Linked DNA regions of Tamandua tetradactyla. The protein of the gene in region 4 interacts with the protein of the main gene of each other region in a biochemical or structural test. Links are inferred from orthologs where the notes say so. Each region holds a gene or a part of one and is shown on either strand. Other genes may lie near its edges. The genes, in order: MDC1, UBE2V2, H2AC20 and RNF8.

Region 1 (7,258 bases), about 8.7 Mb from region 4:
TACCCTGGGTGTCTCCTCAACAGTTAGGGTACCTCGGGAGACAAAAGGCAGGGGGACATCCAGGCGATGGTACTGGCAAGGCAGGTCAGCAAAGAGAATCAGCTCCTGGTCCCTCAGACGATGACTGACCCCAGGGCTCAGAACCTTAGGAGGCCTGAGGATTTGAGTACCATTGAGGCTCCCACAATCACGGAGGAGAGGTGCCTTGTCCAAAGCCAAGATTTCAATTACTGCATGTTGTTTGGAGATGGACGGAAAGGGCAGGGCCACAGAGCAGTCAGGCTTTCGGCCTACCACATTCTTCCCAAGATATAGTGGGAAATCTAAGAATTAGAAAGGAAGATAGGTTCCAAGGCCAGAGTCTTTTCTTAGGAAAATGTTGCTGTTACGTTTTTCTCTACTCACTCAAGGCCCCCACTTGCATTAGAAAAACAAAAGGCTCTAGAACATCTAGGCACTGAAGAGTATACACAATGTATTATTCATATTCAATACTCTCTCCAAGGGAGTGCATGTTAGTTCAGTGGTAGAATCCTCTGCCTCCCATGCAGGAGACCCAGGTTTGATTTCTGGCCGATGTACTTAAACAAACAAAAAAAAACAGCAAACAAAAATAGTGCTGTGATACTGGGATATTCAATGGAAAAGAATGAAATGTGACCCCCACTGTACAGCGTATATATATATATATATATATAAGCCATATCCCTCCACCCTGAATTTTAATTTGAATCTCTCCATCTTCTCCTACGAAAGTAAAATCACTCCCACTGAGTCTAGGGCACTAGATTAGAACAATAAACTCAAATAGCATCTTTTCCATTTCTGATAAAAAAATTTTTTTCAAATCTCCTTGAAATATATATAAGCCTCCTGCAACCCTCCAGATACCTCCTCACAAAAAAAGTAAACGACTTATACAAACACTTCAGTACCCAATATCCCCTGACCTTTTTCTGGTCCATGGGCACTGCCGAAGATATGCAGTCGCCCTAAGGGCTCCAAACTATAACCCAAGGATTCACTGGCTCTCTCTTCCTCCTCCTCTTCGTCAACCTCCCAGTCAATAACCTGGGTATCTTCCATGACCTGGGAAAGAAACACATTATCATTGTCCTCACCATTAGTTCATACACACACAACATCAGAGAAGAAATTGATAACTGGAGGTAAAACTGGATAGTTGTGGAAACTGATGCTTCTTTTTCTCTCATTCATTCTCTCGATAGTCTTTTGAAGTATTTCTCAAACATTTTTGATGATGACATAAAGTAGAAAATGATATGGCTCCTGGTACAGATATATTTAAACCTTTGTGCTTATTTATAAAAATACGGTTTTGAGAAATAATGCTAAACCCTACTATTTACAATACACTGATATCTTTTCATTCTTTTTTTAAATTCTCTGTTTTTTAAATGCTAATTTGCAAACCACTACACTGATTTCACTATTTACTCTTGGGTCATAATTCAGTTTGAAAAACATAATTTTTCTTTTTTTTTGTATGGGCAGGCACCAGGAAGCCAACACGGGTCTCTGGCATGGCAGGTGAGAACTCTGCCACTATGCCACCTTTGCCCACCCTGAAAAACATAATTTTAAAGGGAACAAACGTTTGCTGAACATTAACTATGGCCCAGGCATTGTGTTACATGTCTGGCATTAACGGCCATATGAGAAAGGCATTTTGGAAACTAAGACTAAAAATATTAAATCATTTGCTCAGGATAACACAGCAAATGGAAAGGACAGGAATAAATGTGCTTCTGGCTGCAAGGTCCATGTGTTTTACACTTTGCCATATAGTGTGGTCAGAGAAAACTGCAAAGAATCACAATACCTGGTGACATACAGAGGCTTGCTTTGTGCAAAGCACTGTTTTAATTAATTCACACTGACTGATTCACTTAACCTGTACAAAACACTTTAAGGTAGCTGGTAGCTCCCATTTTTCTGATAAAAGAACCTGTGACACAGATGTGTTAAAGAACATGTCCAAGATCACCCAGATAATGTCTCGCCTCTGTCAATACCCGTTGAAGGCTTTCCATGATCCCAGGACAAAACAAAAACCTAAACTCTTTAGTAAAACCCTCAATTAGCTGAACCTCATGTCCAGCAATGCACTAACCTTCCTGCCCCAACAGCCTATGGTTCAGCCAAATGGGCCTTCTCCCCTATCTCTCAACATACTATCCCCGCATCTCCTTACACCTGCCTGCTTTAGCCCAGCTTGCCCTTGCCCTTCACTCCTAGTTTCCTTGTTCAACTCCCACTTATTCTTCAAAATTCCGTTTAAATGTCATTTCCTCAGCAAAGCCTTTCCAGGACGCCTGGTGGATCCTGTGTGTTCCACAGGGATCAATGGACTCGTGTCTCTCCTAACAGTTCTTATCACACTGGAACTATTACTTTCATTTGGGCCTTCAACACCCATTCGTGGGCAGGGCCATTAACCTTGCCCTCCTAGAGTTACATCGCCGAGCTTATCGAAAAAAGAACAAATGGAAGGAGATGTAAACTCAAAATAACACGGGTAGAATCCACTTAAAAAGATGCCACCCTAGAGAGAAACCATTGACTGGTGACAAGTAGGAAAAAGTGTTAACTCCGACCCTGTGAACAACTAAGCGGGTCCCCCACGACCCTTGACTCCAACCCAAGGGCCACCATCTTGGAACCTTACACCAATGGGTCCCCTCAGGATCCAACGTCTCCCTGCGTCTTCGGACCTAAGCTCGGGGCGGGGCGTCAGGTGCGGATGGGCAGGACAATCCCAGAAGCAAACTTCCGAGTCGCCTCCGCCCAGGCGCCCCTAGGGCACGCCCCTCCCGCCCTCCGGGAGAATCAAGATGGCACCCGGGGAGCAGCGGACTGGGCGTCCAGAACTCACCTACTTTGAGTCGTCGCGCGCGCCGCTAGTAACGGCCGCGATCCAGGTGGCGCGAGCGCGGACGCCGGGAAGGAGCCGATTCGCTGATTGGCTCCTGAGGCTGTCTTCACAGCTCGGCTGCACGCTGATTGGGGGAGCCTCCCGCGCTGAAGCAGCCCAAACTCCACCCCCGGCATGCCCCACCCCGCCCCGCCCGGGCAGCTTCTCGCAGGACACTGCGAGACACTAATCCGATGTTGCTCTGCGCGCAGGCAACTACGCACCTCGATTGGGCAGTTCCAAGGGACAACCCACCGCCGCTTCACCGCTCACTGCCCACTTCCCGCGCAGATTTCCAAACCGTGACCATAGAGTTTGGCGCCCGCTGCTTGCGGAGGATAGAAGGGCTATACGATAGCCATCGCTCAATGCGTTTGGTGCGGCCAGGGCGTCCTTTCTCGGTCCTCCCAGACATGGTGTCCGCTGACTCATGAGAAGTGGGTTGCGGCTTGCAGTCGTGGCTGCAGGCTGCAGTGCGAACAGGCCGTAGGCGTGGCGCTTGAGGACTCCTCATAGCAATGGAATTTCATTTCCTTTTGACTTGTCTTGTTCTGCAGAGGTCATGTCATTTCTTCTTGGGGATACATCACTGACGGAGATTTTGAGGTCATTTTCCTAAAGCACAGATCCCTAGGCGAACAGAGAGAACTGCTGGGCTAACCGTCTTAAAAGGATTACTGAGATCTGTCCGCACCTTTCAACGAGTGGGAGGATAATAAAATCATTTCAGTATCTCAAGCTGACATGAAAAGAATTGCAGCACTTTGAAATGCATTTATTTTTCCCATTAGTTCTCATTTAATTCTGACCACATAATACAAGAGGCAGAACTAGATTTTAACAAACGTAGGAATTGAAGCTCTGCGGTTTAAACGACTTGCCAAGGTTCCTAAAGCTAATGTAAGGTAGAGATAAATTCGAAACAAGTCCTCTAAGTTCTAAACTCTTTCCACTGCCACAAAATAATGGCTTTCGTTGTGATCATGGTATAGAACATAAAATATTCTATCTAAAGTGACTAGATGAGGAAGGGTCTTACACAACTTGATATTCCATTATTTAGAAGGTGACTTGAGAAATGTATTAAATCCAATGTGAATTAACAATGACGACCTTGAAATCACATCTCTATTATAGTGCTTCCCACACTATTGTTACTATGTTTATCCAACTCTCATCAAACTGAGGTCCTGGAAGACAGGACGCTAGTTCTTAATCATTTTTGTATCTCTAGCTTCTGGTTTGATGAACACGTAATATCTATCAAATGACTGGATATTTGGGAACAAAAGGCAAGCTACTGTGACATCATCCCATCCAATTTTTAAGATTATTTATATTATATATTCTCATACCATGTAATCATCCAAAGCGCACATTCACAATATCATCATATAGCTGTGCTTTTATAATCACAATCAACTTTTTTTGTGAAAAATAACATATACAAAAAAGCAATAAATTTCAAAGCAAATGGCAACAATTAGTTGTAGAACAGTTTTCAGAGGTTGGTATGGGTCACACTTCCACAATTTTAGGTTTTTACTTCTAGCTGCTCTAAGACACTTGGAGATGAAAATAAATATCAATGTAATGAATGATTCAGCAATCATACTCATTTGTTAAACCCTACCTTCTCTGTATAACTACACCATCATCTTTGAGCTTTCTCCCACTCTCTAGGGGTATTTGGGCTATGTCCATTCTAACTTTTTCACGTTGGAGGGGGCTGTTGAAAATATGGGATGGGGGATGGAACCAGTTGATGTTCTGGAGAGGATGGCCCCTCTGCATTCAGGATTTATCTTGTCCAGGGACCCATCTGGAGGTTGTAGGTAACCCTAATGCACGGAACTTTGGTAGAATCTTATATATTTCCCTGGGCACTCTTAGGATTGGCAAGAATGATTTTGGTTAGGGTTTGGCAAGTTATGATAGGTAACGATGTCTAACTGAAGCTTAAGAGTGACCTCCAGAGTAGCCTCTCGACCTCTCTCAGCCACTGATACCTTATTTGTTACACTTCTTTTCCCTTTTGGTCAGAGTGGCATTGTTGGATCCCATCCGATTTCTCCTTACCAATCGATCCCCCCATTCTCCCCATTTCATTTGTAGCTCTTGAAGTTAGCTACAAATGAAAGCAGCAAACTGAAAAAACATTGCCTTCATCAAAGTACCTAGAAAGGCAAGCTGGAAAGACCCTGCTATTTCTATCAGACATATAACTCCATAGTTCCTTGCTTGACAAGAAAACCAAGATGTCTACAACGCCCACATGAGGCCCAGATTCCCTACTGGACTGAAACTTCTGGCTTCACAGTACTCTGACATCAACTTGCCTAAACCATTCAACTTATTCTTTGAACATACCCTCCAGCAGCTACATCTCTATCCTGGAAAGTCCTTGCTGCAATACTGTTTCTCTTTCGAAACATCATTCGAAAATTCTCAAGCGAATAAATAAGAGAAGGACAATCCCCAACTGCTTCCTGAGGCGCAGTGGTTTACTGGAGTTCAGGTTTGGTCAACAAAGAACCAGACGTCGGGTAGCAGAGCAGGGTGCCGCATTTCTCCCCAGTTTTCGCTGAACTAAGCATTCCTATCTTTTCAAGAGCTAAGGCAGCAGGGAGCTTTCTGGGCGTGCCCACCCCACTTCCCAACGCCTGGCATCTCAGTCTTCCCAATTCCTGTATCTTCGAAAACTCCCTTTCTGTGCAAAAAAACTCAGGAGTAAAGAAAGCGATCTTGCACAAGGTCATCATTTTTCATTAAAAGAACAAAAGAAAACGAAACACAAAAAAAATCACCCGGTACCCACCCTTTAGTCACCTCATTTTGCGGCGTGGACAACAATAGAGGACTACAACTCCCAGAGAGGAGCGCGCTCGTCCACTGCGAGTCGAGACCAATGGACGGCTGGTATATGACTGCCATCAACTAATCAGGGCCAGCGTGGATGAGGCTTTGTCTCCCGACCGCCGCGCGGGGCCGGTTCTCCCGCCTCCCAGCCGCCGCGCACGCGCGCCCCGCCCTGCCCGCCTTCCCTCCCTCTCCCTCCCCCCTCCTTCTTTCTCCCTCTCAAAGCCTTCCTGCTGCCGCGTTCGGACCTTGCTGCTCCAGCCTCCGGGCCACGAGCCATCCTGCCAGCTTGCGACCCGCGGAGGGAAAGATTCCATATCATTCTCTTGCCCCGCACACACTTTGAGGCGAGCAAAAAGTTAAAATAAATTTTAACCATGAGGGAAATCGTGCACATCCAGGCTGGTCAGTGTGGCAACCAGATCGGTGCCAAGGTAAGGATTTTAAATCTCTTTAACTGTATTTCTTTTGAGCAGGAAGAAGGAAAGCCTTAAATTATGAAGAATGATTGTGGGATATTCGTGCTCTCCATCCTTAAGCTGGGGGGGGGGAAGTTTTATACATATTTGTGGCTAGAATTTGCCTTTGGAAAATGGGGGATTATTTTTCTTGGCAGGCTCACTTTCGGAAAGGACCCTTCGGGTTTCGGGGGCGGGAAAACCGAGGAGTTGTAAAATTGCACTTAGAGGATCTCCTAACGGTCCGAGGACTGGGGAGCGAGATGCGGAAACCTCCCGAGACAAAGCGAGGCGAGCCTGCCCCATGTGCATCTCGCGCTCGCCCCCCCCCCCCCTTGGCGGGAGTTCCTAGGGCGAAGCCCGAGGGGGAAGGGGCGAGGCTGGGCGGGCAGCTGCAGAGGGCGTCTAGCCTAACTGGGGGTGGGGTGGGGTACAATGCGCCATGTGGACTGCTGCCCGGCCCCCTTAACAAAAGATAAGGGACCCCCGCACGGCTCCGGTCCCTGTAGTTTTAAGTGAATGAAAGGATAAAATGTACGTGATCAATTTTATTTCATTTTTCCTTAACGAGATCCTTTAACGGAGTGAACAGATAGGGAGAGGGTGGAAGAAAAGGAGGGAGCATGCCCGCTTAAAATAGCCGTAGGAGACTAAGTGGGAGAGGGGCAACCCTCCTTTAAAGCAAGAAAAAGAAACTTAGCGAAGGAATAAAATTCCAAGGCCTAGGGTTTTTTTTTTTTTTTTTTTTTGCGCGCGGTTACAGTGTAGCGGGGGAGGGGACGGGAGGAAGTGCCGCTGCTACGTTGTAGCAGAAGGGCGGGCCCGGCGGGGCGGGGCGCCCTAGGCGCGCGAGGACAATGCGGTCCTGCTGGCCCGCGGGGGCGCGCGAGCCCCAGCCGGGCGCCGCCCCACGCGCCCGTAATTCAAGCCCTTGGCCCCGCCTCTCCCACGCGCGACGCCTCCCATTGTCGGCGGCTAGACCCGCGCGTGCGCTGCAGTCACATGA
Region 2 (7,011 bases), on a different chromosome or scaffold from region 4:
TGATATCCTGGATGGAATCCTGGGACAGAAATAGTACATTAAGTAATATCCTTTTTCCACTGAAGGCTCGAACTAAGGTAAAAACTAAGGAAATCTGAATAAAGTATGGACTTTCATTAATGTGTCAGTACTGGTTCAATAATTGTGACAAACGTACCAAACTAATGAAAGCTGTAAACAATAGAGGAAACTGAATGTGGGGTATATGGGAGGTTATTTGAGAACTCTCTATTCTATGTTCACAACCTTTTTGTAAATCTAAAGTTATTCTAAAATCAAAAGGTTAATTTTTTTTAAGTATTATACATACTTCTTTATCTAACACCAACTTTTATTAATGATGCTAAGATCTAACGAAATTTTTGAGTCACAGATACTAAATTCAATGAATTTCTATTCCCAGCATTATTAACACTGGTTCTTAAACCATATTCTGCATAATCCTCTGGATCCCAGGGATGACTCTGCTTCTTGGAAAGGAAACCCAGACAGTGGGGTCTGGAACCACTGCAGCTCCACTCATATTTGTGGGAAGGTTCTAGGTCTCCAAATCAAGGCCTCCGCTACGAAGGCAAGTTTGAAAGCCATACTCTAACCTCTTAAAGAAGTAAAATCCAAGTACTGAGGAATATGCCAACTTCACTTTTCAGCATAAGGGAGAGAACACTTCCAGTCAGCTATGTATAATCTTTTATTTCTTTAGGCCTCAGTTTTCTCTTCTGTAAAATAAGATGACCAGACAGGATGATAACCTTCCAGCTAAGGCTCAGCTAATTAGATTCTGTTTCCGACTCTTTTTGTCTGGTAAAAGGAAGGGTAAAAGCATGTGATTTGGATACTGTACATTCAAACATAATATTTAAAGATCAAAAAATATTTGAAAATGGATTTTTTCCTCTCAAATAACCATTTTTTCAATATAAAAATAAAAAAACGTATATCACATCCATTTAGCTCTTCTAATTTTAAATTTCAAGCTACAACACATTTATTTCAAATACACAAATACACCTGTATATTCAAATATATATCCAAATATACAGGTACTGTTTCACTCCCATGCTACCAAAACAGACAATACGGAAGTATACCTGAAAGAAACGATATTTCAAACATAACTATTTTGAAACTATATTTCAAACATAATTATTCAGATTTAAAACACAGTCCATTTTGCACTCAACAGTCCATAGCCTAAAAAGCCGAAAATGGACAAATGAATAGGAAATTGACCAGGGAAAATTCTTAGCGACAGATTCAAATAGAAATTCAGTAGTTCATGAAAACTCAATGAATTGCCTAAAATATTTTACTTTGTAATTATGCTTAGGTTTCAAATTTCATTAAGTCAAAAAACAGTGATTTTCTCCTGCCATGCCAGAGACCCAGGTTCGATTCCCAGTGCCTGCCCATGTAAAAGAAAAAATAAAAAAACAGTAGGAAACAGTAACAGACAATGTAAAATACAGGTTTCTGATACATAATAAATATGCTAATGATAAGCAAATTCTTTATAATTTATAATAAAAAATAGCTTACTCCACTTTCCCAAGCCTCCCAAGTCCTTCAAAAACGACTAGGCAAGGTTAACAAAAAGTATGTGCCATTGAAATCATCTACTGTTTTTTTTTTTCCAAAGTATTCTAAAACTCTTCCACATGTATGGTATTAGAAAAAAAAATCCTGCTTAAACAATGCAATCCACAAAATAAAAACTCAAGTCAAATCAAAATACACAATTTTATTATTAAAATTTCAAGACCCTGTAGGTACTGAGCACAACTCTTTAAGAACACCTGAGATATTCAATCTGAGGCAAGTACAAATTAAAGTAAAATGTCATTTTCTTAATAAAACGTGCTCAGAGATAATACTAGTTATCTTTGACCCTAAGTACATTGAAATATTTTTCCAATTCTAGATTTTTTAAAGATCTTATCACCTATAACACCTGTACAAAACAAAGCTGAGATTCAAAAGATATTTTTTATTAAAAAACACATAGGATGTATCCTAAGGTATTAATTTAAAAATACCAATTATGACACACATTTGAGAACTTTCATTCTAGCAAAGATTTGAAAATTCGTTTTATTATGCAATGATGACACGAAATATTAAATGACACTGTTCTATATAACCTAATGTTTCAATAAAGATTAGAAAAGTGACATTATATGCATTAATATTTTTAAATCGTAAAATTTATTTTTTTTAATTTAACATTTTTAACTTAACATTTTTTTAATGGTCAAATTTCTAAAACCTCGGCAGTAATGCTTAATTTCAAGGCTGTGCTAATAGGAAATCAAACATTGTATACAGTACGGAAAAAGAGTTGAACGGCTTATCTAAGAAACCACTTGTTCTTCAATTACCTTTCATTTTGCTCTGCGGTTTAATTTTGTTTGCACCGCAGTTTTTCACTTAAAAAAAGATAACACGTATTCAGTCACGTTAAAATGATCATCTCTCCCTTATTCTTCCACAACAGCAACCAAAAATTCAATCCTGATCGGAATTCGAGCACAGGAGAACCGGACCCCCACAGTCCAGGACAACCCTTAATTCGAAGCCCTTCCCGGTCCCGTAGCTGACACCCGCCCACCTTAGGCCTCCGCTCCGTGCCCCCGCACCTCCTCCGGCCCAGACCTCCCGTGCCCCAAAACGTAAGACCCTGCGAGTGTGTCCGCGCCGGGGTACCCCGCCCCAGGCCGCGCGCGCGCCGCGAACGCGCAAACACGACCTGCAGCCGCCTCCCCTCGGCCGCTCGGGCCTCCTCGCCGGCACTCGCCGGCCCGAACCCTGCCCAGACCTCGTCCGTCGACAGCTCGGGTCCACGGGCTTACCCTCCGACCTTTCGCCCACTGCCCGCGCCCGCCCGCCAGCAGCAAGCGGAGCGCGTAGGGCTGAGTCGGACAGAGAAAGGAAGGCAGCCCGGCCCGGGAACCGACCTGTGGAGACCGCCATCTTCTCCTGCAGCCCAACGCAGCCGCACGCACGTCTGGCGACGTGTTGCGTCACTTCCGGGAGCCCGCCTTCCGCCTCGCCTCTGAGCCCCGCCCCTGGACCTTGCGCTGAAGGGCCGACGTAGAGCAGTCGCCCGAAACCCGAGAATCGGGAGGAATTGGAACGGCGCGTTGGGCTCGAGGGGCAGGGATATGGGTCCTCTGAACGAAGCTCTCCCGAATGAGGGAGACTGGGTAACTCAGGTCCAACCCGAATTTTCCACCAGCGAAAGCTGAGGTGTCTGGCTGGGCATCCAAGAAGCCCCCTTGCCAAGCAAACCATGCATTTTTTTTTTTCCTACATGGGCAAGCATCGGGAATCGAGCCCGTGTCTCCTGCATAGCAGTCGAGAACTCTGCGTGCTGAGCCACCGTGGCCCGCCATGCATTTTTCTGTAAGAGCATTTTAAAAAATAAAGCTAGGGGAATTTTTGTGAAAGGGCATATGCCTCTTTGCTGAACCTGATTGAAATCACAGAAACTACTACTCTTGCCATAAATAGTTCATCTTATCGTCTCAAATGGGTGATTCTTGTACATTCCAAATTCTACCCCAGTTGAGACTTGGGAGAGTGGAGTAAGCTATTTTTTTCCATTTTCTCCCAGCACACCTCAATTATAAAACTCTTTCATTCTGTATATGAGCCTCATGACTACCTGGAATGTGATCCAGGCCTTCTGGTGTGTGATCCATTGTTCTCAGTTCTTTGCCATCAGTTACTCTCCGGTCATATCCAATCCCACCAATCATGACTAAAAATAGTTGATTTAGCATTTGTCGTTTGTTGTGAAGATAATTCATATCAATTCAGAAAACAAGTATTTTCTTTTTCTAACAGCTCCTGCGTGTTCTTCAGGAATGCTGATCATTTATAAGCATTTCTGTAATCTATTCAATATATTCATGTATATTATATACATCTTGTTATGTCTCACTCCCCTGATAGTCTCCTGCATTCCAGAGATCTAATAACGGTAGTGATTCACTTTTTAAAATCAAGTAATAAATGTTATGTCTACTATATTCATTTTCTTATTCGATCCTCACAGCAAGGTTCATATGAGGAAACTGAAATTAAGCAACATTTCCAAAATGAAAAAGATGGTAAATGGTGAAAGCGGGTTGTGAAATCAGGCGTCTGAACACCAACTGTAGTACTTTTTTAATACATCATGCAATTATGTTTACTAAATATTATACTGGACCAGACATTGAGCTGAGTTCTGTGCTTTCCAGGAGCTCAGAGGAGTAAAATGAAGCAGCCTTTTTGTATGCAACTCATATACAATGATCTGCCTGCCCCTCTTACTGTTTATTTAGAATGGAAGCAAGATTAAATAAAGGAAGACCTCACAATTTTGTTGATTATCTTTAACCCAGAATTAGCCAAACTGTGAAGGTTGAGAGAACAGTCCTCCAGACTGCCAAGTCTGCCCAGACTTCAGACACCAACTGCAAGCAGTTAGGGTTAACTTACAAAGTTAGAGGACACAGCCCCCAAGATTGCTCTCACTTCTTACAACAACTGCAGAGTGGTGGAATGGCAGAGTTCCAGAAGCCACCCTAAGGTCAGTAAATCAGTAAAAGGACTCACTGGAAGTTACTATTCTCACAGTTGCAGTTTATTACAAGGAAAAGGTACAGTTCAAAATTAGCCAAAGATCTTTTAATGGGAATGGTACCAAAAGTGAAGAAGGAAGCCTCTGCTCCTCCAGAAACCAAAGCCAAAGCAAATGTTTTGATGGCCAAAGGGCGGGGCTGAAAGGTGGCCAAATGCACACACACAGAAAAAGACCCACGCATCACCCACCTTTCATGAGCTCAAGACACTGGGTCTCTAAAGACAGCCCAAATATAGGAACAAGCGTGACCTCTAAACCTTCATCAAGTTCCCTTTACCCTCTGAGTCAGCAGTGAAGGAAATTGAAGAGAACAACATACTGATGTTCATTGTGAATGTCAAGGCCAACCAGAACCAGATCAAACAGGCTGTGAAGAAACTCTATGACATTGACGTGGCCAAGGTCAACACCTTAATCTTGTCTGATGGAGAAAAGAAGGCATACATTCCACTGACTTATAACTAAGATGCTTTGGATGTTGCCAACGAAATTGGGACCATCTAAACTGAATGCAGCTAGCTAATTCTAAATATAATTTTTTTCACTGCAAAAGGAAGATTAGGCCAAGAGTTGCATAGGGCAAAGTGTGGGAGAGTCCCAAACACAAAATTTCAGTTGTCCTCAGGCCTTACCTCTGACTGCCCCGTAGAATTAAAACATCTGGAACCAGGGACGCTCACCTGAACTTTGATGTCCAGAGTTTTAATTGAGCTTCATTATGTAGGCAAGATTAATTAATCAATTGCCCACAACCTTGACTTCAGTCACCAGTTCCTCACCTACCAGGTCAGGCTGATATAATGTGGCCCAAGGGGCATAGTATGAATCCCCTTCTAAGCATAAACTACCACGTAGGGCCCAAAAGGACCCAGAATGAATAATAAAGACACTTCTATCCTCAGGAAATTTTAAGGGTTTATAAATTTCTTCCAGGGAACTTAGGGCAAAGGCCCAGGCTCTCTTCTACAAGGCCAAATTCTTTAATTCACACCTCCCATCTGTTTATGCCTCACAGATATTCCTGACGAAAGCAGTTACAATGAAAAATAAAAAGAGTAGCATCATTGAGAGTTTACTAGATGCTAAGCATTGTACATAAAGAATATTTGCTTTTGTTTGTTGTTATATATATATTTTTTAATTAATAAAAAAGAAAAATATTTAAGCTTTCTAGCCTCCTACATTCTGGAGCAGCTAGAAGGAAAAATCTGGGGCGGGCCACGGTGGCTTAGCAAGTAAGAGTGCTTGCCTGCCATGCCCGAGGACCTGGGTTTGATTCCCGGTGCCTGCCCATGTGAAAAAAAAAAAAAAAAGGAAATGGAAAAATCTGAGAGGATCATGTGGTAGCCCATGACAAACTCTGGGATCTGTCCTGTAACTACTTGTTGAAGAGTGCTCTGAAAACTATGGCTTTTTTTTTTTTTTTACTATTTCTTTGTTTTGTATACATGTTATACTACACAGTAAAAAAGTTTAAAAAAAAAAAACTTCAAAAAATAGTTATTGAAGGGAACTTCCTCAACATGATAAAGGGAATATATGAAAAACCCCAACTAACATCAAATTCAATAGGAAAAGACTGAAAAATTTCCCTCTAAGATCAGAATGTCCACTGTCACCATTGTTATTCAACATTGCACTGGAAGTTCTAGCCAGAACAAATAGACAAGAAAAAAAGAATGAAAGGCATCCATATTGGATAGGAAGAAGTAAAACTCTCACTTTCTGCAGATGATAAGATAATACATGTCAGAAATTCTGAAAAATGTGCACCAAAACAACCATAGCTAATAAATGAGTATAGCAAAGTGACTGTTTACATCAATACCCAAAAATTAGTAGTGTTTCTATAAACTAATAATGAGGAATCTATGGCGGAAATTAAGAAAAAAAATTCCATTTAGAATGGCAGCCAAAAGAATAAAATATTTAGGAATAAGATATATATGAATAAATTAAACTAAGAACACAAAAGACCCTTACACTGAAAACTACAAGAAGTTGCTAAAAGAAATCATGGAAGATATAAATGGAAGGGCATACCATGTTCATTGATTGGAAGACTAAATACAGTTAAAATGTCAATTCTACCCAAATTGATTTGCAGATTCAATGTAATACCAATTAAAATCCCAACAACTTACTTTGCAGAAATAGAAAACAAATAACCAAATTGATTTGGGAGGGCAGGGAGCTCCAAAAAGATAAAAATATTTTGAGAAAGAAAAATGAAGTGGGAGGTCTCACACTACCTGACTTTAAAGCATATTATAAAGCTACAGTGGCTAAACAGCATGGCACTGGCATAAAGATAAATATACTGATCAATGGAATTGAATTGAGTGACCAGAAATAGACCCTCTCCTCCATGAATGATTGAT
Region 3 (5,316 bases), on a different chromosome or scaffold from region 4:
GCGCGGTGCGGGGCGCCCACGGCTGTCGCCCGCTCGCCATTGGCGGCGGACGCGGCTGCGCGCTCAGCCAATCAATCAGGGCCCCCGCCCCGCTCCGCTCCCGACCTGCGCTTATAAATCACAGCAAATGGGTTCCCTGCTCCATCCCTGCCCTTGAAATAGAAACAGCCACTGTGCTTTTAGCTGCAATGTCGGGCCGCGGGAAGCAGGGGGGCAAGGCCCGCGCCAAGGCCAAGTCGCGCTCGTCCCGCGCCGGCCTGCAGTTCCCGGTGGGCCGAGTGCACCGCCTGCTTCGCAAAGGCAACTACGCGGAGCGGGTGGGGGCGGGCGCGCCGGTGTACATGGCGGCGGTGCTCGAGTACCTGACGGCCGAGATCCTGGAGCTGGCGGGCAACGCGGCCCGCGACAACAAGAAGACGCGCATCATCCCGCGCCACCTGCAGCTCGCCGTGAGGAATGATGAGGAGCTCAACAAGCTGCTCGGCGGCGTCACTATCGCGCAGGGCGGCGTCCTGCCCAACATCCAGGCCGTCTTGTTGCCTAAGAAAACGGAGAGTCACAAGCCGGGCAAGAGTAAGTAACCACGAGATGTGACGCCGCCACCGCCCCCCACCCAAAGGCTCTTTTCAGAGCCAACTAAACAGCAAAAGAAGGGCTGATGACAGGTAGCGCTAGCTCTTTCCTCTGAAAAGTTGGGTGGCTCTAAAAAGAGCCTTTGGTGGTCTTTGGCGTTATCGACAGATTATTTGCTTTTAGCCTTGTGACTTTCGGTTTTCTTTGGTAAGAGAACAGCCTGGATGTTGGGCAGGACGCCGCCCTGCGCGATGGTAACTTTGCCCAACAGTTTGTTGAGCTCCTCGTCGTTGCGGATAGCCAGCTGCAGGTGGCGAGGAATGATGCGCGTCTTCTTGTTGTCGCGGGCCGCGTTGCCCGCCAGCTCCAGGATCTCGGCCGTCAGGTATTCGAGCACCGCCGCCATGTACACCGGCGCGCCCGCCCCCACCCGCTCCGCGTAGTTGCCTTTGCGAAGCAGGCGGTGCACTCGGCCCACCGGGAACTGCAGGCCGGCGCGGGACGAGCGCGACTTGGCCTTGGCGCGGGCCTTGCCTCCCTGCTTCCCGCGGCCCGACATGGCAGATCAAAACTAAACACACAAACACACCAAGAGACAGAAAATTGGTGGTAGCAACGCGGCAAAAAGAAAGCCTTTATAAGCCTTCCTAGGGGTGGGGTCAGGAGCGAGACTCTCATTGGTCCTAAGTTGGCTCCAGAAACAGCCAATAAGGTCCAGAGTAGGCGCTGTTACGTAGGCATTGATGATAAAACATGGCCCAATGGAAAGGAAAGACTTTTGGAGCCCTAATTTGCATAAGGTGGTTATAAAAGGTTCAGGCCCGCCTATCCTTGTGTCTCCTTTGCTGATTTCAGCGTTATTTTATAATGCCTGAACCAGCAAAGTCCGCTCCCGCTCCCAAAAAGGGTTCCAAGAAGGCCGTCACCAAGGCGCAGAAGAAGGACGGCAAGAAGCGCAAGCGCAGCCGCAAGGAGAGCTATTCCATTTACGTGTACAAGGTGCTGAAGCAGGTGCACCCGGACACTGGCATCTCGTCCAAGGCCATGGGCATCATGAACTCCTTCGTCAACGACATCTTCGAGCGCATCGCGGGCGAGGCGTCGCGCCTGGCGCACTACAACAAGCGCTCCACCATCACGTCCAGGGAGATCCAGACGGCTGTACGCCTGCTGCTGCCCGGCGAGTTGGCCAAGCACGCCGTGTCCGAGGGCACCAAGGCCGTCACCAAGTACACCAGCTCCAAGTGAGCCCCTGCCGGGCGGGGCGCGCACGCCAGCGCTCGCCTAAAGCTCCAAAAGGCTCTTTTCAGAGCCACCCACTCGGTCACAAGAAAAGAGCTTTCTCCATCTAATATTTCACTTTAGATTCGTTTCTAAAGGAAACGTGGAATCGGGAGTGATTCGACCCCGGCCCGTGACTAGTTATGTTTTTGAGTTCAGACCCATCTTTATCCTTTGTGTTTTCAGGGAAAGGATTTATTAGGATGCAAAGGATTTGTTGTTTCCAATTGTTTGTAGGGTAGGCGGCGCTTTGTTAACTTGGCGTGGAAAACGGAGTGATTTCAACTGATGAACTTAATGGAAAGACCCCAGGATACATTGAGTTCGGGTCGGAAACGTCGTACGACAGCTTTTTGTATTAGTTATGTAGCCATTCTTGGAGCGACTTGCATGTGGGGTCACCGGTGGCCGCCCAGGGGTCCCAGTGGCTGTAGGCGCCCCCTGCGGAGCCCACACCCAAACGCGCCGGGTTGGACGGGGTGAATTTTCAGAATCCCGCTTCGTTTCGTAATTCGTAGCTTCCGATTCCTCTGCTCACTACAGGATTCTAAAACCTTATTCCGCGCCCCCCCCCCCCCCCCCCCCGGTTCTACGGGTTATTTTACATATAACGCTGCTTGGAACGCGGGGTCCTTAGGTCACCGCAATCCTTGCCCTGGTCACGTAGGTTTGGTCCCAAAGTCACCTCGGGGAGACCGCCCCCCCCCCACCAGATAAGCCATTCAGGAGTCCGCGCCTCTTATTCCAGTCTTTCCGTTCACTCTTTTTTAAACTTCTTCGTAGCAGCTTGGGAAATTGTGTGGTTCGTTTGTCTTATTTATGGTCTTTATTCCCCTCCGGTTTGCGAGCCTTTGAGGGCAGGAAACCTGGCCTGGTTCTCGCCTGGTTCTCAGCTGTATCTTCAGCGTGGCAGGGCCAGAAGCAGTGGGCACTGGCTGCGTGAGTATTTGAGTTCATTTCCCACACCGTTTTCTTGGACGAATGGGCGCGCTTGTTTCCCCTTAGCTGTGTCTGAAGCCACCACGCCTCGGTGAGAATGGACCTGTGGTTTGGAGCACATTCCAAGTACAGGACCTGTCTGCAGCCACTGGGAGGGGCGATGGTCAGGTCCTTTCTGCGCGGGGGGATGTGGTTTTGGTAAGACCTCCCTTTACTTCCCGGCTCAGAGTAGTGTCTTCGGGGTGATTATCAAGTTCAGAGCGTTCGTCACTGGAAAGTGCAATGAGCCTTCCAAGCCAGCTCCCTTTATGCCCGCCCCCTCCCCCCCCATCCTGATTCTCTTCTTCACTGGGACTGCTGTTAATATGCCCTATCTCCCTTGTTTCTCAGGAGACTCTTACTTAGCTGGGACAGGCAGGACCCCAGGGCTAAAGACCCCTTCACAAATGAAGTTCACAGTCACGAAACTAAGGTTTTGATGGTGTTTGTATCCTCAGGTATGAAGACAATTGCATTTTGGTTTTATTTTGTGGAGTTATAGAATTTCGAATGTTTCTGTCCAAGTTGTGCTTTTACTGACGAAGGCACTGCTGCTGGTCTGAGCAGTTTCTGCACTTTCCTTTGGGTTAAGGGACTCCTGAGTTGATTCCAGAGGTTTCATGAATCCGAATAGGCCCTGATATTAGTGCAACTTGTATCTCATTCTTGTGTTTTCAAATGTGTGTAAATGCAGTTGTTAAAAATAAAGTTATGAATTAGGGTGGGCCATGGTGGCTCAGCAGGAAGAGTTTTCGCCTGCCATGCCGGAGACCTGGGTTTGATTCCTGGTGCCTGCCCATGCAGAAAAATAAATAAAAATAAGGTTGCCAATTAATTTGAAAGCTTTGCTGGGTCCGTTAATCTGTAATACACTCTCAGTTAAACAAAATAACTGCCACTGAATCTTCAAGAAAGCTGAGTACCTGTGATCTGAAGGAAGAATATACACCTTCAGCACAAAATTCACTTCCCCAAAGGTCCCCTGGGGCTGAAATAGTCTGATGAGAAATCACTTTTCATGCTTAGTGTTTTGAAAACTGTGACAACAGATACAGAGTATAAACAGGGTGGAGGAAATAAAGGCTTTAAAGTTTACTTTAGTAAATGATAAAAGCTCATACCTATAACAGCTCTTACCATGTGGCATCTCGTGTTTTGTGTCCTTTACACTCATTGACTCATTAAATCCTCACCAAAACTGTATGAAGTAGGTATTACCATTACCCTCCAATTTACAGATGAGGAAATGGGCACAGAGAGACCTTTCCTCAGAAACTCTTCAGAGAATAAGCTGCTAGTCTCTGTAGCTTGGGAAATTTTTTTGATGACCTGAGAAAGTAGGCTCACTAGCTGAAAATCAGGACCCTCCACCCCTACCCCTGGGTGTTTGGGGAAATAGCTATCGCTTAAAACTTAAATGAAACACCACCTGCTTTACTCTTTTCAAAATGCACACTGGATGTAAATCTGGGTGGGGGGAGGTAAGGAGGTGATGACTAAAGTCTTACATACCGCTCCCGAGGCTTTGGGAGGGGGTTGGGGAGCTCTGGCTCTCCTGCCTAGAGGACACAGCCTAACTCAGCTGGCCTGGCCCACCTGGCACTCAACAGTTGGAATCTTTTCATGAACACTGAAGAACACTACTTGCTGGTTGCAGGCCCTTCCTGGACATGATGTTCATTAGGAAGGAAGTTACAGAGTAAGGAAAGGGAAAGAGGTGATAGGGTTTGCTATTTTCACTGGGAGGGGAGGTAATCAGTGATGGTGAGATTAATCCTAAAGACTCTCTTTAATCATTTCTTTCTCCCACTCAAACATCTTTAATTGCCTTTGCTTATATTGGAGTTAATAATCATAATTATTAATAATAAGTTACTATTTTAATAATTACTATAATTAAAGTAATAATTGCTATCACTTACTGAGCACTTAACTATTACCTGGTCCTCTGCTAAGATACTTATGTGAATTATCTCAGATTTTCACTTGATAGGTACCATTATTATCCTTATTTCACAGGTAAAGGAAATTGAGGCTCTGAGAGGTTAAGTAACTTGCCCAGGATTGTACAGCAAGTTAGTAGAACTGCAGTCCAGTGCACAGTTTTAAAAACCCTGGTGTTTAAGGCTTTCCGTTATCTCCATCTTTTTTTTTCCATCTTTATCCAGGTTTTCTGCTCTAGTCAAAGTGATCTACTCACCTTCTCCTAAGCCTACTTGTTTTTTTCTGACTGCGGATTGGACTGCCTCTGCTTTCTGGCATGGCCAGCTTTCTTCTTCAAGTCAAGGCTCTTATGAGTTCCTTCCCCCTTGGGAAAAGAAAGTTTATCCTGTTTCTCTCTGGAGCCACCATGTCATAAGGTCAGAATTTAAAAGTGGAGAAGGACTAGGACCATCCCAACTGTCCATCACCCAGATAAATGGATTAACAAATATAGGGAAGCAATAGATATGCCCTCCACTGGGCTTGAAAAAATATCCATGC
Region 4 (7,341 bases):
TAAGAGCATGTACCCTTGATATGATGTGATGAGAATGACACTTTACCTTTGTGGTCTTCCTCCCCAAACCCATAACCCTAGTCTAATCATGACTAAAACCTCAGACAAATCCCAACTGAGGGTTATTCTACATAATACTTGGCCAGGCTGGAGTTATAACAATCGTTAGGAAATTAGGTTCTGGAAACAGACCTGAGTGTTACCTGCCATTTCATTTGTTACTTTGGGAATTTCTCTATGCCTCTTTCCTCATCATCCCTAAAGTGGGGATTATAATAGTAACTGTTGCTTTCTGTAGAAACAGAGCTGGAAGGATATTAAGGAATGATGAGAAAAAAAGAAAGGAAGAAAGAAAGAAAGACACAGATGGGCTCAGGGGGTCTGAAGCTTGAGTTTACTTCAGACAGACTTCAGACCCCCTGAGCCCGTCTGTGTCTTTCTTTCTTTCTTCCTTTCTTTTTTTCTCATCATTCCTTAATATCCTTCGAGCTCTGTTTCTACAGAAAGCAACATTTGGCGCCCAACGTGGGGCTCGAAGAAGACTCCAAATCAATATTAAGGAACCAAGGAAAAGTCTCATAGAGGCACGTGTGTCCAGCCGATAGAAGAGGACTCGAGTCATATTGGTAAAGTAAGCATTTTCCTTGGATCATCAGGGTAACGGGTAATCATAATAGGCGGCTGGAGGAGTATGTGTGTGTGTTAAAGCTACTGGGGTGCCTGTTAAAACATCTGAATTAGTAAGCTTATTTGATCTCATTCAAAAACATTGTTGTTGGTTTCAGCCTTAAGGCCATAATGTTTTAAATCTTAAGTAATGGAAATTCGTTATGAAGGCTTTGCAGTGAATATAAGACGGGGAAAATATTCCTGTTTCTATTTGGTTATTGTGTTCAGTCAGGCAATGAACTACCTGGCTCATGCTTTGTCTTAAACTCTAAGTTGTGTTTCTTCTCAATCTCCCACTACCACTTCTTACCCTGTTTCGACAGTTGCTTGAGCCGGACTCGGCAACTGGTGCCCAAACAGGGATCTAATAAGGGAACTCTTAAAGCATAAAGTGAGGAGATGCTCCAGGGACATCCACTACAAATACTACAGGCGGGCCTTTTTGGGTTGAGCAGTGGCCCTTATCTGTAGAGAGGTTTGAGGCTCTGACTCGGTTGATTTGGGAACAGTTTGGAGCAGGACGTTTACAGGAGTCTCGTGGTTCTTGGAATTCTCCAATATTTATTGCAGGAGGGAGGTCAGGAAAATGGAGAATGTTGACTGATTTGATAAAAGTTGATACTGTGATTCAGCCTATGGAGTCATTGCAGCCTGGCTTGCCCACACCAGTTGTAATTTCTAAGAACTGATTTATTATGATAGATTTTAAAAATTGCTTCTTTGCTGTGCCTTTGGCAGAGCAGGATAAAGAAAGATTGGTTTCTGGGCTTGTTCTTGATGGGCTGCCTTTATATAGGGATTCATGTACACCTGAGTCAGAAAGTATTCAGTGAGAAAGGTGCCATACCAAATGGGGGTCAGTGCTCATTGATGGTTCCTGTGGCAGGTTGGTCCCCAACGGGGTGTGCAGTTCGGGATTGTAGTTCTGACTCAAGGTATTCTGTTAGGTTACCTTTGTTTAGTCTGAATGATTATTCTATGAGATTTATACCAATACTACAGGTAAAGTCCTATGACTCAGAATGGGAACGGCAACCCCATCTCCTTTTGTTAACTTAAATCCTCAATAAACAGCAATTTGGAAACTGGCCATGAGTTTAGCTCCTATTCATGTTTGAAAAGAGAAATATATTTTAAGAACTTTAAAACTAAAAATTCTTGTTAAAAACTATATATTGATAGTTAATGCATATTTGAAACATTAAAGTATTTTAAATATTTAACATTATTCTAACAAATTTAATTTTGATGGTAATTACATATGTGGTAAAATATTTGTTCAAAGTAATGATTTAAGTATGAAAAATATGAAAGATGTATTTTTATTAATAGGAAAACAGAATAGTTTTATCCTAAAATGAATAACTGTTACTAAGCGAGAAAAATATAGGACAAAGCCTAAACTAATATAATAAGTGCTGAGGGTTTATAAAAATAGAAATTATGGTTAAAATCAAGAAAGATTTAATGAGTCTAAAATGACAATGTTTTCTTGGACTTTTAGCCTGTTCTAATGAAAGGATATAAAAAAAATTCTAAATAATTAGTTAGAAAGCAAAGAGTCTGTGTTTTATCAAAATAACTTGTGTTAACTTTTATCATGTTATTATCTGTATAAAAAATACTGATTTTCTCCTGGGTATCATCATACTGGCAAAAACTGCTTCTTGCTCTAAACCAGATGGCTTAATCTATTAATCTAAGTACTATTACTATAAATGAATCTATTACTGACTAAATAATATTCAAATCATTTAAATACCTAAATTCCTTTAAGCCAAAATACTTTAATGCTTTGTCCAGTGTTTATATAAACTATATATGTATAAACTAAATTTATCCCAAGATAACCATGGCTTATATTGGAAGCAGATCAGATTTGAGGGTTGAATGCAAGGAAAAAATATACTTGTGGAGTCTTTTTTGTTCACCTGATGTTGCCATTACATGCAACTGATATTGCTGGGAAGACCTTGGTAAGAAATAGTTAAAATGTACACTTTAGCTGGGAGGACTGCCTATCCCCCCAGAAGGCGGTGTACTTTAATAAAGATATCTAGGTCCCAGGAAGCTCCTCTTGGTCCCTAGCCAGTTCCCAGAGGACCCAACTGGGCCCAGTCATGTAAGCAAATCAGAATTTGGCCACTATTGTGAGAAAATATCATAAAAACTGCATGAAATAAATTTAAAATTAGCAAAAATGCACAACCAATTATAAAGAATCCACATTCTTGCATTCCTTTTTAATCAATCCAATGAATTCAATTTTAAAAATCTGGTCATTTACTATGGGTACACGTCACTATTGACACTCTGCTTTCATTTTTGCTATCTGCCACTTTAGGGATTCCTAATTATATGTTACAAAACTTGTTTGATATTTTACAAGGAGATTCTGATTTATTAAGCAAAAGGCAGTTAACAGCTGCAGCTGAATGAGAGTTACAATTAATTGAACAACGCATTCAAAAAGGACAGCTTGTTCAAATAGATCTAAAAAATCCTGTTGATTTTATTATTTTCTTTACCTTGCAATCTCCCACAGGCCTATTTTAGCCAGACGGTGTTTTAAAATGGATTTTTTTACCAAACAATTGACAAAAATGTTTAAATACATATTTGCAAAAGATTATTTCTTTAATAGTCAAAGGTCACCAAAGATATTATCAATTAAGAGGTCATGATCCCTAATTGCATAGTGTGTGATCTCACAAAGGAAGCAACAAGTAACCACCGTGATCACATTGTTTGTGAGGAGCAAATAAAGCACTTGGCCTAGTGCCCAGCACCCAGCTCTCAATAAATGTTAGCTGTTTACTGGTATGCTTTATAGATTTAATTTAGTATACATATTTTCTCCTGATATAATTTAATATAAGAAAATTGTTAAGCAGGTATTGGAAAACTGAAAAGATAACAGCGGACATTGTATCATCCCAGAGGAAGTTACTATCTACCCGGAGTAGCTACCATACTATGTTGGAGATTTAAACAAACAAACAAAAAAAACAAACACATTTTATTGAGAATAATTTACATACCATAGAATTCACACACAGGAAGTGTAGTTGTTTGACTTTTTTTTTGGTGAAACGGTTGTGCAATCACCACCACAATTCAGTTGTAGAACCTTTACATCATCGCCCAAATTCCTCAAGTCCACTTGCACTCAATCCTCCGCTTCCACTGGGCTCCAGGGAAGGACTCATCTGTTTTCCGCCTCTATAGATTTGCCTAGTATAATTTATCAAATTGGGTAATACAAGGTGGTCGTGAGAAATAGATACTATTGAGAGACAGACTTAGATTTAAAAATTACCACGAAGTTGTTCAAAAGTGGGTTACAGTTTTAAATAGTATGGATCTAAGTACAAGTTATAAGAATAGGGGTCGTAAGTACAAGTTTCGAGAGAAGGTGGGGGAGGTAAGTGAGGAGAAGCTCCAGTCTGGGGCGGCTGGGACTGGGGTTGGGGTTCTGGAGAGTGCGGGAAGCGGGGAGGGTCAGTTGATTGCCTCGGGCTGCCCGGCCCTAACCAGAGGTTGGACGTTAGCACGCTAGCGTTAGCACACCTCCACAGCCGCCTGGCCGTTTGCGCAGGCGCACTGCCCCTGGCTTGCTCTCCGGAGGCGGGGCTGGGCAAGTAGCCCGAACTTGTGATCACATCGATCGCGAGCGCGAGGCGATTGCTTCTGTCTGTTGATTAGGTATGGCACTCGCGAGGAAGCCGAGAGGCGGTAGGAGCTGGGACCTGGACCTCGCTGTGTGTTGACCGCGGCCGGGGTCTGACCTAGGCCGTCTGGGCTATGGGGGATCCCATCTCCTTAGACACGGGAGACCGCTCCAGTGGTTTGAGCTGGTGCTTGCAGCGGGTGGGGATGGACGCCGAGTGGCTGCTGCTGGAGGCTGGAAGCGAGGTGAGGGGGGGAGGGTTCCAGTTGGTGCGAGGGACGGGGGTTGGTGGAAGTAGAGGAAAAGGGGAGGGGAGGGAAGGCGTAGGGGCCCGTGGGACCGAAGGAGAAAAATGATTCTGGTGCGAGCGGTTGTGGGGTCTGAGTTGGAGTGTGTGTTGGGGGAAGTAGACATCGAGTGAGAAAATTGAAATACGGTTCATGGGAGAATAGAGGGCCATAAGGGGCCGGGGACAGAGGCGCTGGACACAGGGACTAGGAGCTAGAAGATGGCCCCTTTGAAAGAGGCCTGGACCTGAGAGACGAGCTTGCGCAGGAGTCGGGGTTGTAGGAAGTATTAGAGTGGAGGGAGCAGAGCGAGGAGTGCGCATAGACGATGTGAGAAGAAACTGGAGTTTCCAGGAGGAGAAAGGGGACTGGGACGGCCAGTTGGGGAGCGAGGGAAGTATGAGGCAGAGCTGCCCCAACTTCCACCTTGAGTTGTCAACCCCCTTAAGTTTAAGGCGGAGTCAGGAAGGGCTACCCAGAGCGTGAACTCCCGAGTTTATTTTGAAAACGATTGCGAGTTTTAGTTTATGTCCCCTAAAATACTCAAACCTTAATGTGAAAGTATCTTCCTCTTTTCCAACTCGGAGGATAATTGGCACTTTGGGATAGGCCACGTTTATCCTGTGAGTCTTGTACCGCCGCCGAGTGGCACCTCCTGAAGTGGGCAGAAGGTGGGGATTCAGAAACGTAGGAGTTCTCCTCTCTAGAGGTTGCTTATGATGTTTGCTAATGCGTGCATAAGTGGAAAAAAAAAAAAGAAATTTGAGGTGAGGTTCCAGTTTGGGGCGCTGTGCTTGGTTTGAAAGTATGTATCCCAGAAAAGCCATGTTTTAATCTTGATTCAGTCTTGAAGGGGCAGCCGTTTCTTTTAATCCTGATTCAATACTGTAGGTTGGAAACTGAGTGTGACCTTTGATTAGATGGAGATGTGACTCCCTCCATTCCGGGTGGGTCGTGATTTGTTTACTGGAATCCTTTAAATGAGGAAACGTTTTGGAGAGAGTCAAAAGCCTCAGGGTGGACTTGAACTTCAGAGCAGAGCTGACACAGATGCCAACACTTGGAGAACAGAGACACGGATGTTTGGGGATGTTTGGAGATGCTTGGAACTCAGCAGACATCGCCATGCGATGTTAAGCAAGCCAGAACCTGTAGAAAGCCAAGGGAAGCCAAGAGATAAAAGCCAGCCCCTGAGAAGCAAAGTGAGGAACTCTTACAAGAACAGAAGCTGAAAGCAATGGAGCCCAGGAGCAAGGGACCAGCAGATGACAGCCTCGTGACTTCTGAGCTGACAGAGGTGTTCCAGACCCATCAGCCTTCCTTGAATTAAGGTGTCTGTCTCTGGGTGCCTTAGTTTGGACATTTTGTCAGTATTAGAACTGTAAACTTGTTAACTTATTAAATTCCTCTTTTCAAAAGCTGTTCCATTTCTAGTATATTGCATTCCAGCAGCTTGCAAACTAATACAGGTGTCTAGGAGTGGGATGATGGTTCTAGAAAGGAGGAGTAAGAGTTGTGATCATGTTGGGAAGGAGAGGTGAATCAGGAATCCACCTGTGGTGATTGAAGTTTGGTTTGGAAATAATTTGAGAGGTTCACTTTGCAGTAAAACTAGGTGGTTGATCATTATTTGGGATTAATTTCCAAGTTTTATTCTTTGTATATTTAATTAGACTTTTCCTATAAGCAGTATAGTCTTCCCCAAAGTGTATTCATTTTGGGAATTAACAAATTAAAACATTAACACCTGGATAATGCTAACTTTACTTCTTTTGTATAGGGTTGGGGTTTTCACAAGTGTCACTTAATCTGAGTCCCTGTATATGCGCTATACTCTCACATGCAACCATATTAGATACTTAATACTCGAGTGTTAACACATTCTTTCAGATTCAGTTGCTATGGATTAATTTATTACTTCTCCTGGACAGCGTGTGATAGCACTGGGAGTCTTGGAGGGTAGCATAAGGAGAAAGAATTCAAGCACCTGCAGCAAGGGCAAGAGGACTGTCAAGCACTCTTGGACATTTAAGCTATTGGGTAATTTTGTGTGGCTGCTTCTATGGGGAAAGATGCATACAAACCTGAGTGAATGGTGAAGATGACTGCGGCTTGCCTAGAGGGCCTGGGCAAAGGAGAAGACCTGCTTGGCGTGATTATCCTCAAGATGTGCTCTTTTTTTTTAGATATTAAAAAAGAAATTTAATATCTTCAGTAAGTGAAATGGAAGGAACCCTGTTTTACCACTTTATCTGTGAAATGTAGGGCCTTGAGGGGAACTGGGAAGGTAGGAAACTGACTTTACTCTGCTGTTACAATCAAATGATGCCAGCACACCTCCTAAAATAAATTGGCTTATTGAGGGTAAGATGATGCAAAAAATATAAAAATTAAAAGCTTATCTGGCATTTAATTGACTTTTCTTCCACAGTGTGTCAAATGGGAGTTGGATTTTATTTGTACATTTTCTAAGGACCCGATCTGTTTTGAAATCCTTATGCAGAGGGAAACTGTTGGGAAGATTCCTTAAGCAGCTCTTGGGATAATTCTTATGAGGGTGGGGGAAATTAATTTCTTAATTCTGCCTACTTCTTTCCCTTCTGCTTTATGTATTCTACAAAAATAGTCATTACACGTGTTGGTGAGCCCAGCAATTAGCAAAAAGAAGCCCTGGAAGCCAACTTTGTCATCAATACTGGTCTAGATCCTTCATTA

What was found.
Region 1: the proteins of RNF8 (region 4) and MDC1 form a complex in vitro, tested with the Homo sapiens proteins (2 studies listed by BioGRID and IntAct, with this or other methods). The link is inferred for Tamandua tetradactyla from reciprocal best matches to the Homo sapiens genes RNF8 and MDC1.
Region 2: the proteins of RNF8 (region 4) and UBE2V2 form a complex in vitro, tested with the Homo sapiens proteins (2 studies listed by BioGRID). The link is inferred for Tamandua tetradactyla from reciprocal best matches to the Homo sapiens genes RNF8 and UBE2V2.
Region 3: of the proteins of RNF8 (region 4) and H2AC20, one has a biochemical effect on the other in vitro, tested with the Homo sapiens proteins (2 studies listed by BioGRID). The link is inferred for Tamandua tetradactyla from reciprocal best matches to the Homo sapiens genes RNF8 and H2AC20.

What each region holds. Positions count from the first base shown.
Region 1 is NC_135331.1:85,600,512-85,607,769, forward strand, and holds the start of MDC1 (mediator of DNA damage checkpoint protein 1), read right to left. Parts: upstream 3,019-7,258; 5' UTR 2,897-3,018; intron 2,887-2,896; exon of another isoform or gene 2,690-2,886; intron 2,568-2,689; exon of another isoform or gene 1,844-2,567; intron 1,090-1,843; 5' UTR 1,087-1,089; coding exon 951-1,086; intron 324-950; coding exon 1-323. Other genes in the region: TUBB (tubulin beta chain), read left to right, coding at 6,172-6,228. UniProt on the Homo sapiens protein: Histone reader protein required for checkpoint-mediated cell cycle arrest in response to DNA damage within both the S phase and G2/M phases of the cell cycle.
Region 2 is NC_135332.1:90,674,141-90,681,151, reverse strand, and holds the start of UBE2V2 (ubiquitin-conjugating enzyme E2 variant 2), read right to left. Parts: upstream 3,013-7,011; 5' UTR 2,971-3,012; coding exon 2,955-2,970; intron 1-2,954. UniProt on the Homo sapiens protein: Has no ubiquitin ligase activity on its own. The UBE2V2/UBE2N heterodimer catalyzes the synthesis of non-canonical poly-ubiquitin chains that are linked through 'Lys-63'. This type of poly-ubiquitination does not lead to protein degradation by the proteasome.
Region 3 is NC_135330.1:5,947,707-5,953,022, forward strand, and holds H2AC20 (histone H2A type 2-C), read right to left. Parts: upstream 1,188-5,316; 5' UTR 1,133-1,187; coding exon 743-1,132; 3' UTR 582-742; downstream 1-581. Other genes in the region: histone H2A type 2-B, read left to right, coding at 189-581; histone H2B type 2-E, read left to right, coding at 1,441-1,821. UniProt on the Homo sapiens protein: Core component of nucleosome. Nucleosomes wrap and compact DNA into chromatin, limiting DNA accessibility to the cellular machineries which require DNA as a template.
Region 4 is NC_135331.1:94,290,386-94,297,726, forward strand, and holds the start of RNF8 (E3 ubiquitin-protein ligase RNF8), read left to right. Parts: upstream 1-4,335; 5' UTR 4,336-4,473; coding exon 4,474-4,584; intron 4,585-7,341. UniProt on the Homo sapiens protein: E3 ubiquitin-protein ligase that plays a key role in DNA damage signaling via 2 distinct roles: by mediating the 'Lys-63'-linked ubiquitination of histones H2A and H2AX and promoting the recruitment of DNA repair proteins at double-strand breaks (DSBs) sites, and by catalyzing 'Lys-48'-linked ubiquitination to remove target proteins from DNA damage sites.